Saccharomyces cerevisiae S288C: one gene and its partners. The gene in region 2 interacts genetically with the main gene of each other region. Each region holds a gene or a part of one and is shown on either strand. Other genes may lie near its edges. The genes, in order: CLC1, FRK1 and SOK2.

The links.
Region 1: mutations in FRK1 (region 2) and CLC1 together harm fitness more than expected from each alone (negative genetic interaction), as found in Saccharomyces cerevisiae (2 studies listed by BioGRID).
Region 3: mutations in FRK1 (region 2) and SOK2 together harm fitness more than expected from each alone (negative genetic interaction), as found in Saccharomyces cerevisiae (2 studies listed by BioGRID).

The regions. Positions count from the first base shown.
Region 1 is NC_001139.9:830,480-833,749, forward strand, and holds CLC1 (clathrin light chain CLC1), read left to right. Parts: upstream 1-1,976; coding exon 1,977-2,678; downstream 2,679-3,270. Other genes in the region: TRS65 (Trs65p), read left to right, coding at 36-1,718; PEX35 (Pex35p), read right to left, coding at 2,873-3,270. UniProt on the Saccharomyces cerevisiae protein: Clathrin is the major protein of the polyhedral coat of coated pits and vesicles. In yeast, it is involved in the retention of proteins in an intracellular membrane compartment, presumably the trans-Golgi. The yeast light chain is important for cell growth.
Region 2 is NC_001148.4:282,934-287,886, forward strand, and holds FRK1 (protein kinase FRK1), read right to left. Parts: upstream 3,129-4,953; coding exon 531-3,128; downstream 1-530. Other genes in the region: 60S ribosomal protein eL33 RPL33A, read left to right, coding at 1-37; putative mitogen-activated protein kinase kinase MKK2, read right to left, coding at 4,581-4,953. UniProt on the Saccharomyces cerevisiae protein: Putative serine/threonine-protein kinase that may be involved in rRNA transcription and ribosome biogenesis.
Region 3 is NC_001145.3:302,730-307,418, forward strand, and holds SOK2 (Sok2p), read right to left. Parts: upstream 2,865-4,689; coding exon 507-2,864; downstream 1-506. UniProt on the Saccharomyces cerevisiae protein: Plays a general regulatory role in the cyclic AMP-dependent protein kinase-stimulated (PKA) signal transduction pathway by regulating the expression of genes important in growth and development. May inhibit the switch from unicellular to filamentous growth.

The DNA of each region.
Region 1 (3,270 bases), on a different chromosome or scaffold from region 2:
ATTAAGCGCAATTGATAAATCACAACTCATTGACCATGGAATGTTTTGTACCGCTGCGTTGCGACTTAGATGGAAGTAATATAGAACAGTTACGTCAATCACACTTAAGCCGTAAATTTATTATATTTGATGAGCAACTGAATCTTTGGCTGTGGTTTCAAGGTAATTCGCAAGAGAACAAGAGATTTGTACTACAGAATATGATAATATTAATAAATGAAGCGCAAGTTACCAGAACAAGCACTATCGATGATTATTTTACCCAAGTTGAGAACAATGAAAATCTATGGAGGTTGAAAAACGACTGCTGTTCGAAGATTCTTTTCAAATCAAATGTTGTTATGAATAATGGTTATAATAATCAGATCAAATTTGTCTTTGAATATAAATCTGTGGATGCAAATTTCAATAACCAGGATTCATTACAAGATCCACAGGCAAAGTATACATTAGATAAGTACTCTAGCGAGGAGATTTTGCCAAGTTTTGAGCCAGTTTATTCCTGGTCTTCTGCAGCCACCAAATCATCCAAAAATACTAATAATCATCTGGAGAAAAATAACAGGGCGACTCATCGAGTTAGTTCTAAAAATAGCGAAGTCCACGAAGCGGACGTTTCTAGAAATCCGAATACATTTACTCTTAAGCTCCAATACCCAATATTCTCACTTTTGAATATGAGATTGAGAAACATCTCCTTGAAATCTGAGCATTGCATATTATCATCGTTAGACTTTCAAACTTCTAAAGCATCCGAACAACTGACCAAAAAATTTATTTATCCGCAAGAACACAATTCTTTTCTCAAACTGAACTTTCAAGAAATATCGTATAAACTAATCGACGGAACCTCTCAAATTGAACTAGATCCAATCTGTCCTTTGAAAGTGCCACTCACTGCATTTTCATACGATAGCATTAGCGCTACTTTTAAACTGGTTCTGTTACCCAAATCAACTCAACCACATCGTGTGAAAATCACCTTAGCGTACGAACTCGAGCTGCATCCCAATCTGAAGTTACCTGTGAGAACATCATGGGAAACAGAAGTCACATTGAAGCGTTCTATGCCAATTTCCTCGACATCTTCTCAATACTCGAGTAACAACAATAATACCAATCATAGCGCTTCTTTTAATGGTGCGGCCAACAACGTTAATTCTGGTGGTTTGGCCAATCTAAGATTAGGTGGGGTTTCCTCCTCAAGATTTAGTCTTGGAGCTGCTTCGACTACATCATTGGTGAATAGCAAATTAAGCAATGTAAAATTCAAGTTTATTAATAGCAATATAAAAGTTATTAAGGGCGAAAAGTTTACTATGAGGCTTCAGATCATTAACTCGTCATCATCCCCCCTGGATCTTGTTGTGTATTATAACAATACAATAAACCCAATCCCTTCAGCTAATAACGTACGTAACAGCAATGGTATAAACAACTGTGGCATGAATAATGGGACTATCCCCAATTCGCCCTTGACACTGGAAAATCAGTACCAACTGCATAATAAATATAGAAAAATTGCGGAGGGGATTATACTATTATCCAACGATTACAAAATTCCAGTTGTACCTCCGAGAGAAACATACTTCGCGGATTTACGATTTATTGGTATTATGTCCGGATATTATGGCACTCTCTCCGGACTTAAGGTATTGGATTTAAATACAAATGAACTTATAGAAGTTGGAAATGGCGCATCTGTGTTAATCCAGTAAGCGGAACAAGTATACATTTTATTAACATAGACTACATACTAATCTGTAACATTTCTATAAAAAAGTTATTATCATCACATTACACGATAGAAACACTTCCATATTTTTTTACACTGAAAGGGGCACCTAGAAGATTAAACAACTAAACTGAAAATATACGTGCTAGAAAAAGGGTTTTACAGCTTTACTTAGGCGTTGCGAGTCACCCAAAAGAGCAGTTGAAGGACGCCGCCGTTTCACTAGATACATATATATATAATGTCAGAGAAATTCCCTCCTTTGGAAGATCAAAACATTGATTTCACACCCAACGACAAAAAAGATGACGACACCGATTTTTTAAAAAGAGAAGCAGAGATACTTGGAGACGAGTTCAAGACTGAACAGGATGACATATTGGAAACGGAGGCTTCCCCCGCCAAAGATGATGACGAAATTAGGGATTTTGAAGAGCAATTTCCAGATATCAACTCCGCAAATGGCGCAGTCTCGAGCGATCAAAATGGTAGTGCTACTGTATCTAGTGGTAATGACAATGGCGAGGCAGATGATGATTTTTCCACATTCGAAGGTGCCAATCAGAGTACAGAATCCGTTAAAGAGGATCGTTCTGAAGTTGTAGACCAATGGAAACAACGTCGTGCTGTAGAGATTCACGAAAAGGATTTAAAGGACGAGGAGTTAAAAAAGGAATTGCAGGATGAAGCTATCAAACATATTGACGATTTTTACGATTCTTACAATAAAAAGAAGGAACAACAATTGGAAGATGCTGCTAAGGAAGCTGAGGCTTTCTTAAAGAAAAGAGATGAATTTTTTGGTCAAGACAATACGACCTGGGATCGTGCACTTCAATTAATTAACCAAGATGATGCCGATATCATTGGGGGTAGAGACAGGTCTAAGCTTAAAGAAATTCTTTTGAGATTGAAAGGTAACGCGAAGGCTCCCGGTGCTTAAATGATGATGAATAATAAGAACCATAATGAACTAAGGAAGAGAAGGGGCTTATTCCCTATCATTCCCGTCATACATGAGTATCATACTTGATAGGTTCAGTAAATAACTAATTCATACTGTAAATTCATTTATCAAGACAACTATAATATAGATTATTTACAAACTTGTAAACTCTTCTCTTCTAAAAAAACACATCACATAATACTAAGCTGAAACAAAAAGAATAGTATATATTTCCCAAAGTTGCAATGCCAATACTTTTTCAAGTAAACATTAACCAAGGACTTCGCAAAGAATTTTGCGAAAAATGGGCTGATTTTCATTTTACTTGTTGGATCCACGAAGGTGAATGTAAGAAGCATCACGATGCACCGCAATTTGTTGCCCATTAATCTGCGCCTTTTCGTGACGAATAAATATTCGATACACTGCCTTAATATAGTCCATTTTAGACTTGGAAAAAAACCCTTGGTGAAATATGAATTTATTATCTTTTCGTTTATATTTGCATAATTATCATCAATTGTAACTTCATGTATTTCATTTAGTCTGTCCATTACATGCTTCAAATTTGATGAAGATATGGGCCAAT
Region 2 (4,953 bases):
TTCTGTTAGAATCTTCTTGTACCCATCCAACATCTAAATTTGTTGATTGTATAAGTACTCTATTAAACATCGTTATTTTCTCTTTTATTACTATTAATATTATTATATTTTGAGAATAGAAAAGACTAATATATATATAGTATAATTTTTAAAATTAATTCCGTACAAAAGGCAAAAGAAATTGTCTTCTTACTTAAAATGTCTGCGAATCTCGCTGTAAGCGCAGTGAAACAATGTTCCCGCTTAGAAGACGTGATTCAAGCGGAGTGAAGCTATGATTGATAATAAGTAACAATTTAGAAAAATTTTTGATGTTTTTAGTAATGCAAAATATATATGGTAGGTATATGCATATATATGCTCAATGTTTATTAGATTGAAATTTCATAAAGTATATTATAACATTATTTTGTTGGTCTGGCAAATCGCAAAATTTTAGCGACAGACATTTTAAATGGAAAAATTGCAGATAGTACTGATTTTTTCATATGATAAGTGGATATTATTGTCAAATGAGATAGGTATTATCTCTAGATTTTCATACTTCTTCTTTTGAAAAACCCTAATACTCTTTTTGCGGTTGAATGTTCTGGACTTTGGGCTGCTTTATTGTCTACGCTTGCCTTGTTGACCTCAGATACCATTATGGAGGACCTGTTGCTTCGGACCGCTTTTTTAGTTTCTAAAGTACATTTATTTTGCACCATCGTTGGTGCAGGCAGGTCTTTTGAGACTTGATGGGATGTTTGCATATTTGAAGCAGTGATATAATGATTCTTTGAATTTGTTTGATAACTGTCATCCTTTTTTGGGCGTCTTTGGGAAGGTGGAGAAGGTTTCCGTTTGGAATCCATTGATGAGTATAAACTAGATTTGGAAGTATCATAAGAGTACAAGGAAAGAAAGCTAAATCTTTTCTTTGTTGACTCTGCTTCGTTAAGTGATCTTTCTAGATGGTTATTGACGTGTTTTTGTGCTGTAGCTTTCGCGATGTTGCTACTTTTACTACCCTTTTCACTTGTGTCCTCCGTTTTCGCCTTATCAATTGATTCTTGTCCTTCATGTTGTTGAAGAGGAGATTCTGGTGGCCTCAATTCATCAGACTCTTCGGTGACCGTATCGCATGAGATGTCACTGAATATGCCGCTATATCTCAAACTTTTGCGCTTCTGTTTGTATTTTTCATCATAGATTCTCGTTACTACATCAGCGTCCCTCTTATACTTGATCAAGTCACCAGATACGCTTTGCAAATCAACAGAGGGTTTTGCTACTGAAAATTGGCCGTGCGTAATTAACTTTGGAGAGCTTTCGATGGAAGAGGATGAGGTTATGCATGTATCTAGGGCAAGGTATGGTGTGGAATCAAATGGGGATGTGTCTCTTTGATTCAGCGTTTGTGATGAAGCGCTACTTTTAGCTTTTTCGTTGATCTCATATATGGAGAGCGTATTTGAATTGTAGGGAGGTGTTGTGTATGAGCCAGGATGGTATGAAGTTGGCCGTGGCTTTGTATGGGATGAGGAAGACGTACGGTAGAAATTTTTAGCAGATTGGAGACTATTTTGGGTCTTATTTTTATTGTATTGATGATTTTGTGATGAAGCCATGTTATTTGGTTGAATCTTGCTTGTTTGCATTGTGGTAGACGACTCTTCTTCTAAACTTGGTACAATACTACTCCCAGAAATTGTATTTCTTTTAATAGGTGTGGTTTCGATTATAATATCGCCTGGACTTATGGCTGGTGGAGGTGAAAGACTGGCAGTCATGTTTCCCGTAGTTTGTCTAATGTTTTGTACTGGGGATAATGATTGTTCATGACTTAACACATATTCCCTATCTGCGTTCACCACTGCCTGCAAGGCAACGGATGCAGCAGAGTTACTTCTATTGTGCCTATTAGATCTTCTTATAGGTGACAGCCGCTGGTCAGATGCAATAGAAGCCGGTCTGGTTATAATATGATTTTGTGATTCTTGAGGCGGAGCCGGGAAAGTAATTAAAGTTGAATCAATGACCAGTGAATCCCTTTTATCACTCCTTGAGCCAAGAGATGAGGTAGAACAACTGGATTGTGGTCTAGATCCATATCTTCTTCTTGGTTTTGCTAATCTGAACACGGATTGAGTATTGTTTAGTTTGTCCCACTCATCAGGTGTTATGGATAAGAATGAAGAATGAGGCTTTAGCCATTCATGTTTCTTGATCTGTTTCAGGTTTATTCTTTTCTTTGGGTCTGAGACCAGCATGCGTCTTAATAAGTCCCGAGGTATAGGAAGAATATAATCAGGGAACTTTAATGGTGTGGAGTTAATATAATTATAAAGTCTTCCTATATCGCTGCCTTCAGGATTATTTGGATCATCATCCCACGGTAAATATCCAGCTAGTATAGCGTAAAGTATAACTCCACATGACCATATATCTGCTTTTCTAGCTTCGTATGGTTCGGCGCTTATCACTAGTTCAGGCGCTGCGTAGCATGGAGAGCCACATGACGTCTTCATTAATTCGTTTCGTGAGCAAAACTCATTGACAAACCCAAAATCTGTAATAACTAGGTTCTCATTCTTGTCTAGTAATAGATTTTCCAATTTGAGATCTCTGTGAACAAGTCCCTTAGAATGTATGTAATGTACTCCACTTATTAGCTGAGAAAATAACCTGCATGCATTCATTTCCTTAAGCCTCCTTTTTTTTTGAATATATTTATAGAATTCTCCCCCGCATGCGTACTCTAGGACAATACCAATGTACCTAGAATTTTGCAACACTTCTTCTAATTTTACGATATTCGGATGTGATAAGTGTTTTAAGGCGTTGATTTCTCTGTATATTTTAACTTCTTTCCTGTAATCATTCGATATGCTATCACGTTTGATAAGTTTAATTGCTACTTGTTTTGGGAAGTCAAAAGTTGAATTAGAGCTGTTTGAAAAATTCTTTGGCCAGCCTAGCTTCACTTTTCCGAACTCTCCTTCTCCTAACGTCGACCCTAGGATATAAGGACCAAACGTTACATGTTTCCGCCTTTGCTCATCTGTTCTTTGAGGGTACTGAAATGTGTCAGACAAATCGTTGGTAAACCCTCCGTAGTATGTATGACGTTTATTGGTGTACGACATTAAATTTTTGGCACTCTAAATCAGTATATAGAAGTAATGGCCAATTGAATATTGAACGCCGCTTGGCTCGCCTTTCTTGTATTGTGGATGGGTAAAAAAAATAGCGATTATTGTTAGGTTTAATTAGCAATCAAAAAATTCTCGCAAACACGTCACAAGAAACAAATTAATGCAAAATGTGGCACAGTCAAAAAACTGCGAAAATGTGTTAAAGATGAAAAGAACCGTGATCAGCAACAGCAGTGTACCAGATTTTGTGATCTGATTTATTATAGATTTACTCGATGACCTGAACTTGAATTATATTTAAATCGATGAAGGGGTTGAAACAGGTGTTGATCTGGGTTTCAGAATTTTTCTCTTGTTTACCTTTTTTGCTGTTCTACACTCATTCTTTCGATTGTTTTCAATTGCTTTTTTAGGAAGTGCGGCTTTGTTTACATAAAAGGTGTGCGGCATTTTAATGCAATATGAAATTTAAAAGTATATGTAACGATAGCACTATTATTTAGGGTTCCTGAAATGATATACTTTATGGATAGACATTATCTGTTCATTGAGTATACAGTAGGGGCTAAACCTTCTTTTAAGGGAGTAAAAAAGATGGATATGCATTACGTCGGCCACATGACATTAATTGTGCAGGTTCAGCTGATGTATAGGCTGAAGAGGCTACGCTTGCTAATTTATAATGCCATTTACTAACCTAAGGAGAATAGAATCTCCCATAGAGTGAGTATGTTGTGATTAAAGAGATATGGTTTCATCTTTACTCGAGTCCATTTTCTTTATTTTTTTAATGGTAAGAGGATGAGTATAGCAAAAACGGTCAAGAGACAGCAGTAAGTGTCGTCGTAACTAGAACAAATAGGCCTTATAACAGAAATCATAAGGGTTGTCCCGTGGTCGGAGCCCTTGTCGGAACTAAAGAAAATCAGGCAATATAGAGGATATTTTCTACGTACAAAACGCTTATTGTATTTATAGCTCCAGTTACTGAAGTGGTAACTTAAGTAAGCAATAAGTATGTTAAAACCCTTTTATTTTTCTGAGTCGAGCAGATTTTTGTTCGACCGTTGTATATAGGATAATATGACGCCATATGATTTTTTCCTCTTTGGTAGGGAGGGAAGAAATTTTCCCCGCGCGGCTGAGTACAAAAGCGCCTAGTACTCACTTGAGTCATAATTTAGCACATCATAGCGTGCCTGCCAGAAAGACTTGGATGCGCATTTCTATTTGATGTAAGTAAGGAAATAGGAGAACTTTCATAGCCCATGGCTAGTTCGGTTTTCAGTAAACTATATACGTATATGTTAAGAATATTTCGGAGTGTCTAGATAATAAAAGAACATCGTTAAACTTATGAATGGTGAAGGAGGAGAAGTCTCGTTAAAGAATTCCTGTTGTAGAAAAAGTCAGTTCTGGTTACGAGAGGAAAATGTTGGAAGTTTATATCCCATCCTTTTCCTTTTCCCAGCATTTCTTTACAAACCGTTCCATGTTGACTTTTTTTTTCATTTGCCCTACAATCCAGGGATGCTTTAACATTTGCCTGGGAGAAGGCCTCTCTCTGGCATCTTTTTTTAAACAATAGTCGATAAAAGATCTAAATGTCTTGCTCCAGGATATGTCTAGTTCTGGCTCATCTTTCAACTGGGGAGAAAACGTCAGGATCATCGTCAATAATTCTATAGGAGCCACGTTTTGCGTTATTTTGTCAGATTCAAATGGAAATCTCCCTCCAGCAACCTCCAGAAGAGTTAATCCTAAGGACCATACATCACAGGTTACGCTGTATGGTTGGCCTTGTATTCGTTCTGGG
Region 3 (4,689 bases), on a different chromosome or scaffold from region 2:
AATCTTTTCAAAACCGAAACATGAGCTCTCTTCAATAGCGATATAAACACCGGCAGCATATAGACGCAGGTTTGGGCTATGTTTTGTCAGCAGCGATAAAAGGTACGAGACTTCGCAGACTTAAACGAGGGAAACCTTCTCGAGAACTATGGTAACAAATATTACCCGCCCCGGAAATTGCGGAACAAATACACTGTCTCTTTACGAGTTTCTCGTTTAAAAAATCCAGGGGTGTGGGGTGTGGGCGCCCATATGCGCGAACGAGCAGCTGCTTGTGATGTTTTCCGGGGAACCTCCCACGTTCACAACCGCGCCGCGGAAATAACGAAGTTTTTACGTGTAAAGAGATTACGTCAAAGGAAAGAAGTGTTCAATGTGTCTATCTTATAGGCGTGATAGATGTCATTTATAACATGAGTCCACCTCATGCATAACGTATGTACATATATGTGGGCGGTAGGGTTTTGATTAAAGTAACATAATTATCCAAGGAATTCATAGTTGTTCTATTTTTCTTGTTTTTTTGTATCATCAGCAGCAATTTCTTCGTTGGAGACATCGCCAGCTCCATCAACTTGTGATTTGGATGACTCTGACTCCTTGACAGGTTCTGCTTCACTAGGTTCGTTCGGTTGTGTTGCTTCATCGCTTGTACTTGTTTTTATTTTGTCAGTATCCGTCGAAGTCAATGCGGAGATTGGTAATTGACTAGATCGTGGCTCCTTTAATGTTTGATTATCTGGTACAGTATTCCCACTGTCTGCTTCCTTAGACCATTTGGAATGTGATGCCGATTCAGATTCCACTCTTGGAAGGGTGATTCCTGTATGGATACTTCCCACATTTGATTCAGATGATTGATTTGTGTTTGTTGTAGTTGGAGAAGGTGTCAAAGGCTTTGAATCTGCAGGTGTAATGCCTAATGTACTTGCCGAATTCATTGTGGCGTTGCGTGGATACGATAAGGGTGAAGCTATGTTGCCCATCAGTTGTTGTTTCATCGGCATTGTTGCCGAAAGGGTCTGTAGGTTAGTTATAGTATGTCCTTCTAGTTGGTTAGAGTTAGGCATTGTGCATTTTTTCAAGGGCTTTTCACCCGCAGCGATTGTACTTACAGCTGGTATAGAATTATTGGGTATAATTTTGTTGTTCAAATTCATTGAGGAGTATGTCAGCTGAGCAGCAGATATATTTGAAGGACCATTAGGATTTTGATAGTTGTTAATAGGTTGATAATAGGTACGCGGACTGATGGATTTAATACCAGTGCTACTGCTACTACTACTGCTATCATTGCTTGGATTATTTTGTTTCAATACGCTCTGAATATCCCTGATGAACAAGGGATAAAGATAGTCAGCAATTTTTTCTCTTTGTGCTATTGCTAGGGCACGCTCAAACGGTATCCAGACACCCTTCAAATGCATGGAACCAATCTTCACCACATGCCTGATTTTTTCCGCTTTTAGAATACCATCTCTTCTACCTCTTGTCATCTTAGTTACATTCAGAAGTTTGGTACCATTAACCATATCATTATCTGCTCTTCTTACCACTGAAATACCGTTAGCTTCTACCTGATAACATAGCGTTTTTTCATCCTCCCACATTGTTGTTGTTACTCTTGGCCTTATTATACTTGCCGAAGTGCCGCTGGTGTTACTGCCTGTGGCATTGGTAGTGGCGATTAAGGGCATCGGGTGCCTTATGGTAGTTGTTTGGAAAGAATTCATGGTTTTAGCCATTGAGTCATACTGTTGATCTGACACTCCGTGCCTATTTGCAGTTAAATAAGTTTCTTGATCAGTAGAGGGTTTAACTGGTGGAGTTATAGAATTTCCATCATACAACGGGCTCACCTGTTGTTGTTGCTGAGGCGGTAGCAAACCCACTTGCGGAAGATTGTAGCTTAAAGGTCCATTTTGGCTGGTTGGACCTTGAGTTGGCGTTGTTAATGATCTTGGAGGAATTGGAGAATGCGAGTTTGGAATTGACGAAGTCTTGTGAAAACCGGGGTATTGGTAGGTGGAAGGTTGTGGATAGTTTGACATTGGAGGCTGCTGAGCTAAGGACGAGATACTATTACTATTGCGACTAGTGCGATTAGAATTGGGAGACATAGAGCCACTGGACGAATCAGAAGGTGGTCCAGATTTACTGAACTTTGAAAATGCATTACCTATCTTTGGTGGTTGGGCCGGATACGTTTGAGCTTGTAATTGTTGTTGCTGCTGGTGTTGTTGCTGTTGTTCAAAGGTTGAGTAGGTTTTTTCCAAATTGGGGTTTTGGACTTGATTACTGGTTACAGATGGTGTTGCACCGTTAGTGGTTCCATCGCCGTTTGCAGGATAATAATAATACGCTTGTGGATACGAATATGCCATTGATTGTTGGGCTTGCATTTGGGGAAAATAATAGTAGTATGGTACATTGTTACTGATATTAGTACTGTTATTGCTTTTTTTGGTGGTGATTGCAGAACCATTCGGTAACGCAGTTGCAGTAGCGTTGGAAGGAACACCTACAGACGTGGAAGGTGGATTGGAAGCATTTGAGTCAGAACCGCTACTCTGAAAGGATTCTTGAACTTGATACATCTGAGGCTGGGATTGCAGTTGCTGTTGAGACTGGGATTGCGGCTGCTGATAATATTGCGGGTACGGCCACTGTTCAGGAACTACGTATTGGTAGGATACGGGCATCAGAGGTTGAACGCTCTGGCCGAGATATTGTTGTTGTTGCTGCTGCTGTTGGGTGGACTGGCCAATAGTACTTTCGCTATTGCTCACGGCACTCATATTTGATTCCTGGCGCATGCGGTTGGACTTGATATCATTCGTATTGATTGGGTTACCGATGGGCATGACAAAAGGACCTTACCAGGGTTATATAAGGATGATTTTGTACTGTGCTTAACAAATCCACTTTCAATTTCTGAAAACAAAGATCAAAAAGGTTTTTTTTTTTTATACAATTGTGAAGTATGTTTAATGAAAACAGCACAAAATGATATCTCTCTGCTTGCAATATAAAAAGCTATGGAAAAGGATTATCAACTATACTAGAAGGCTTACACACGCACAGGCACACACAACTAATGCAAAAGATAGTGGGGAAAAACTTCAAAAACTAACAAAAAGAAGTGTTAAAGATGAACTTTTTTCTTTTGTATCGTCGGCTTGCCACATTCGATAAGTTAATAAAACACAAACGGGCAACACATCTACGTACTTTTTATGTGAAGACAAGAGAAAGAATACATCACTGATACGTGCGTCTATTGCGCAGCACTGTACTATTGCGAAGAACTGAGTGAAGGCAAAGAATGAGATGATCGATGCTTAGCCGACTGTTAAACTTACTGAGCGGTAGCCTCTACTAGTTCCTTAGTCAGATCGCACTCAACTTGGAATGTTCCGTCAGGCCCACGGAAGAAAAAGCAACAAAAGAAAGAAAAACCGGACAACATGCGGGAAAAATGCAAACTGTGTGAGGGAAAAATTAACTTTAAAGATTACATCAACGGCGGGAAAAGATCCTTCCGCAGTCCTTCTACTGCGGTTTCCCTGCAGGCACAGCTAACCGGAGGGAAGACAAGTCAAGCGGACATGCAGTTCCCGCTCAGGCTTCTTTGCAGAGAAATCGGAATATGAATTTTTTGTGTTTTTTGTTAACTTCTTTACCATTCGCATCACGGGAAGAGTGTGTTGGCATAAGAGGCGCAAGAAAAAGGTGACCCACGGTGGTGGGAAAGAGAAGAAAAAGCCGTTTGCGGAAAGCAATGTTTTGCCCATTCAGAAACAATATCTTTGCTGTATCCCTACATGTATTATGCCGCGTTGCTTGTGCAGGTACGGAGTCCCTGCACGATTTTTCAACAAGGTCTAGATTTGCTAAGACGATGAGGCGGAGCCCGAAACAAACAAGCCAAAAACCGGAATTTCGCGCTTGGTGTGCTTTCGCATCTTTTCGTGTGGTGAATGCACCTGGTGCACGCTGCGAAGGTGACGTAGCAATCCAAAAAAGGGAAGTCTAGGCGCTTTCAACCGCCCCCCACCGTGCATGCGGATTGGTTGTCACAATTCGCAGACATATTGGCAATGTTTCCTCCCCTCCTGTTGATGCGGGTAAGGGGTGTCTGTTATGCAGGAACAGGAAGGTAAAAATTAAATGGGCCTTAATTCTGTAGACACTCTCTTGGGGTAATAAGGTTAAAAGCCATTGTTGAAGTACGGAATCATCTCTTCATTTTTTCAGCGCTTGTAAGGAATTAATCCCCAGGAAGGTGCCGATGTAATGAGAGAAGTATTCTTGTTGTATCTCTTTGGTTCGGAGTATTTCCTTCTTTCTTTTCTTTGTAGTTTTTATGCAAATGCAGGGAACAGAGTACCCGGTTAAGGCTGTTAGTCAGCCGCACTCTACACAAAATTACTTGGCAAACACGTTGGTTGGGAAAAGCTTTATACTTGGCGGTGTAGTAATTGTAAAGGATCAAGATTGTGTCATGCTAATGTGCCGCTGTGTAACAACCTTTTTGAAGCGCGTATTTACCACCGGCAAAAGGCCATTGTGTCACATAAAAAAAAACTCCCGCCAAAGCCAGGTTCATTTTGCATAAGATTCACCACAGTACGGAAAATACGATAAGTTAACCAGTAATTTGCTCGCTTTAGCTACTGATAAACCTTC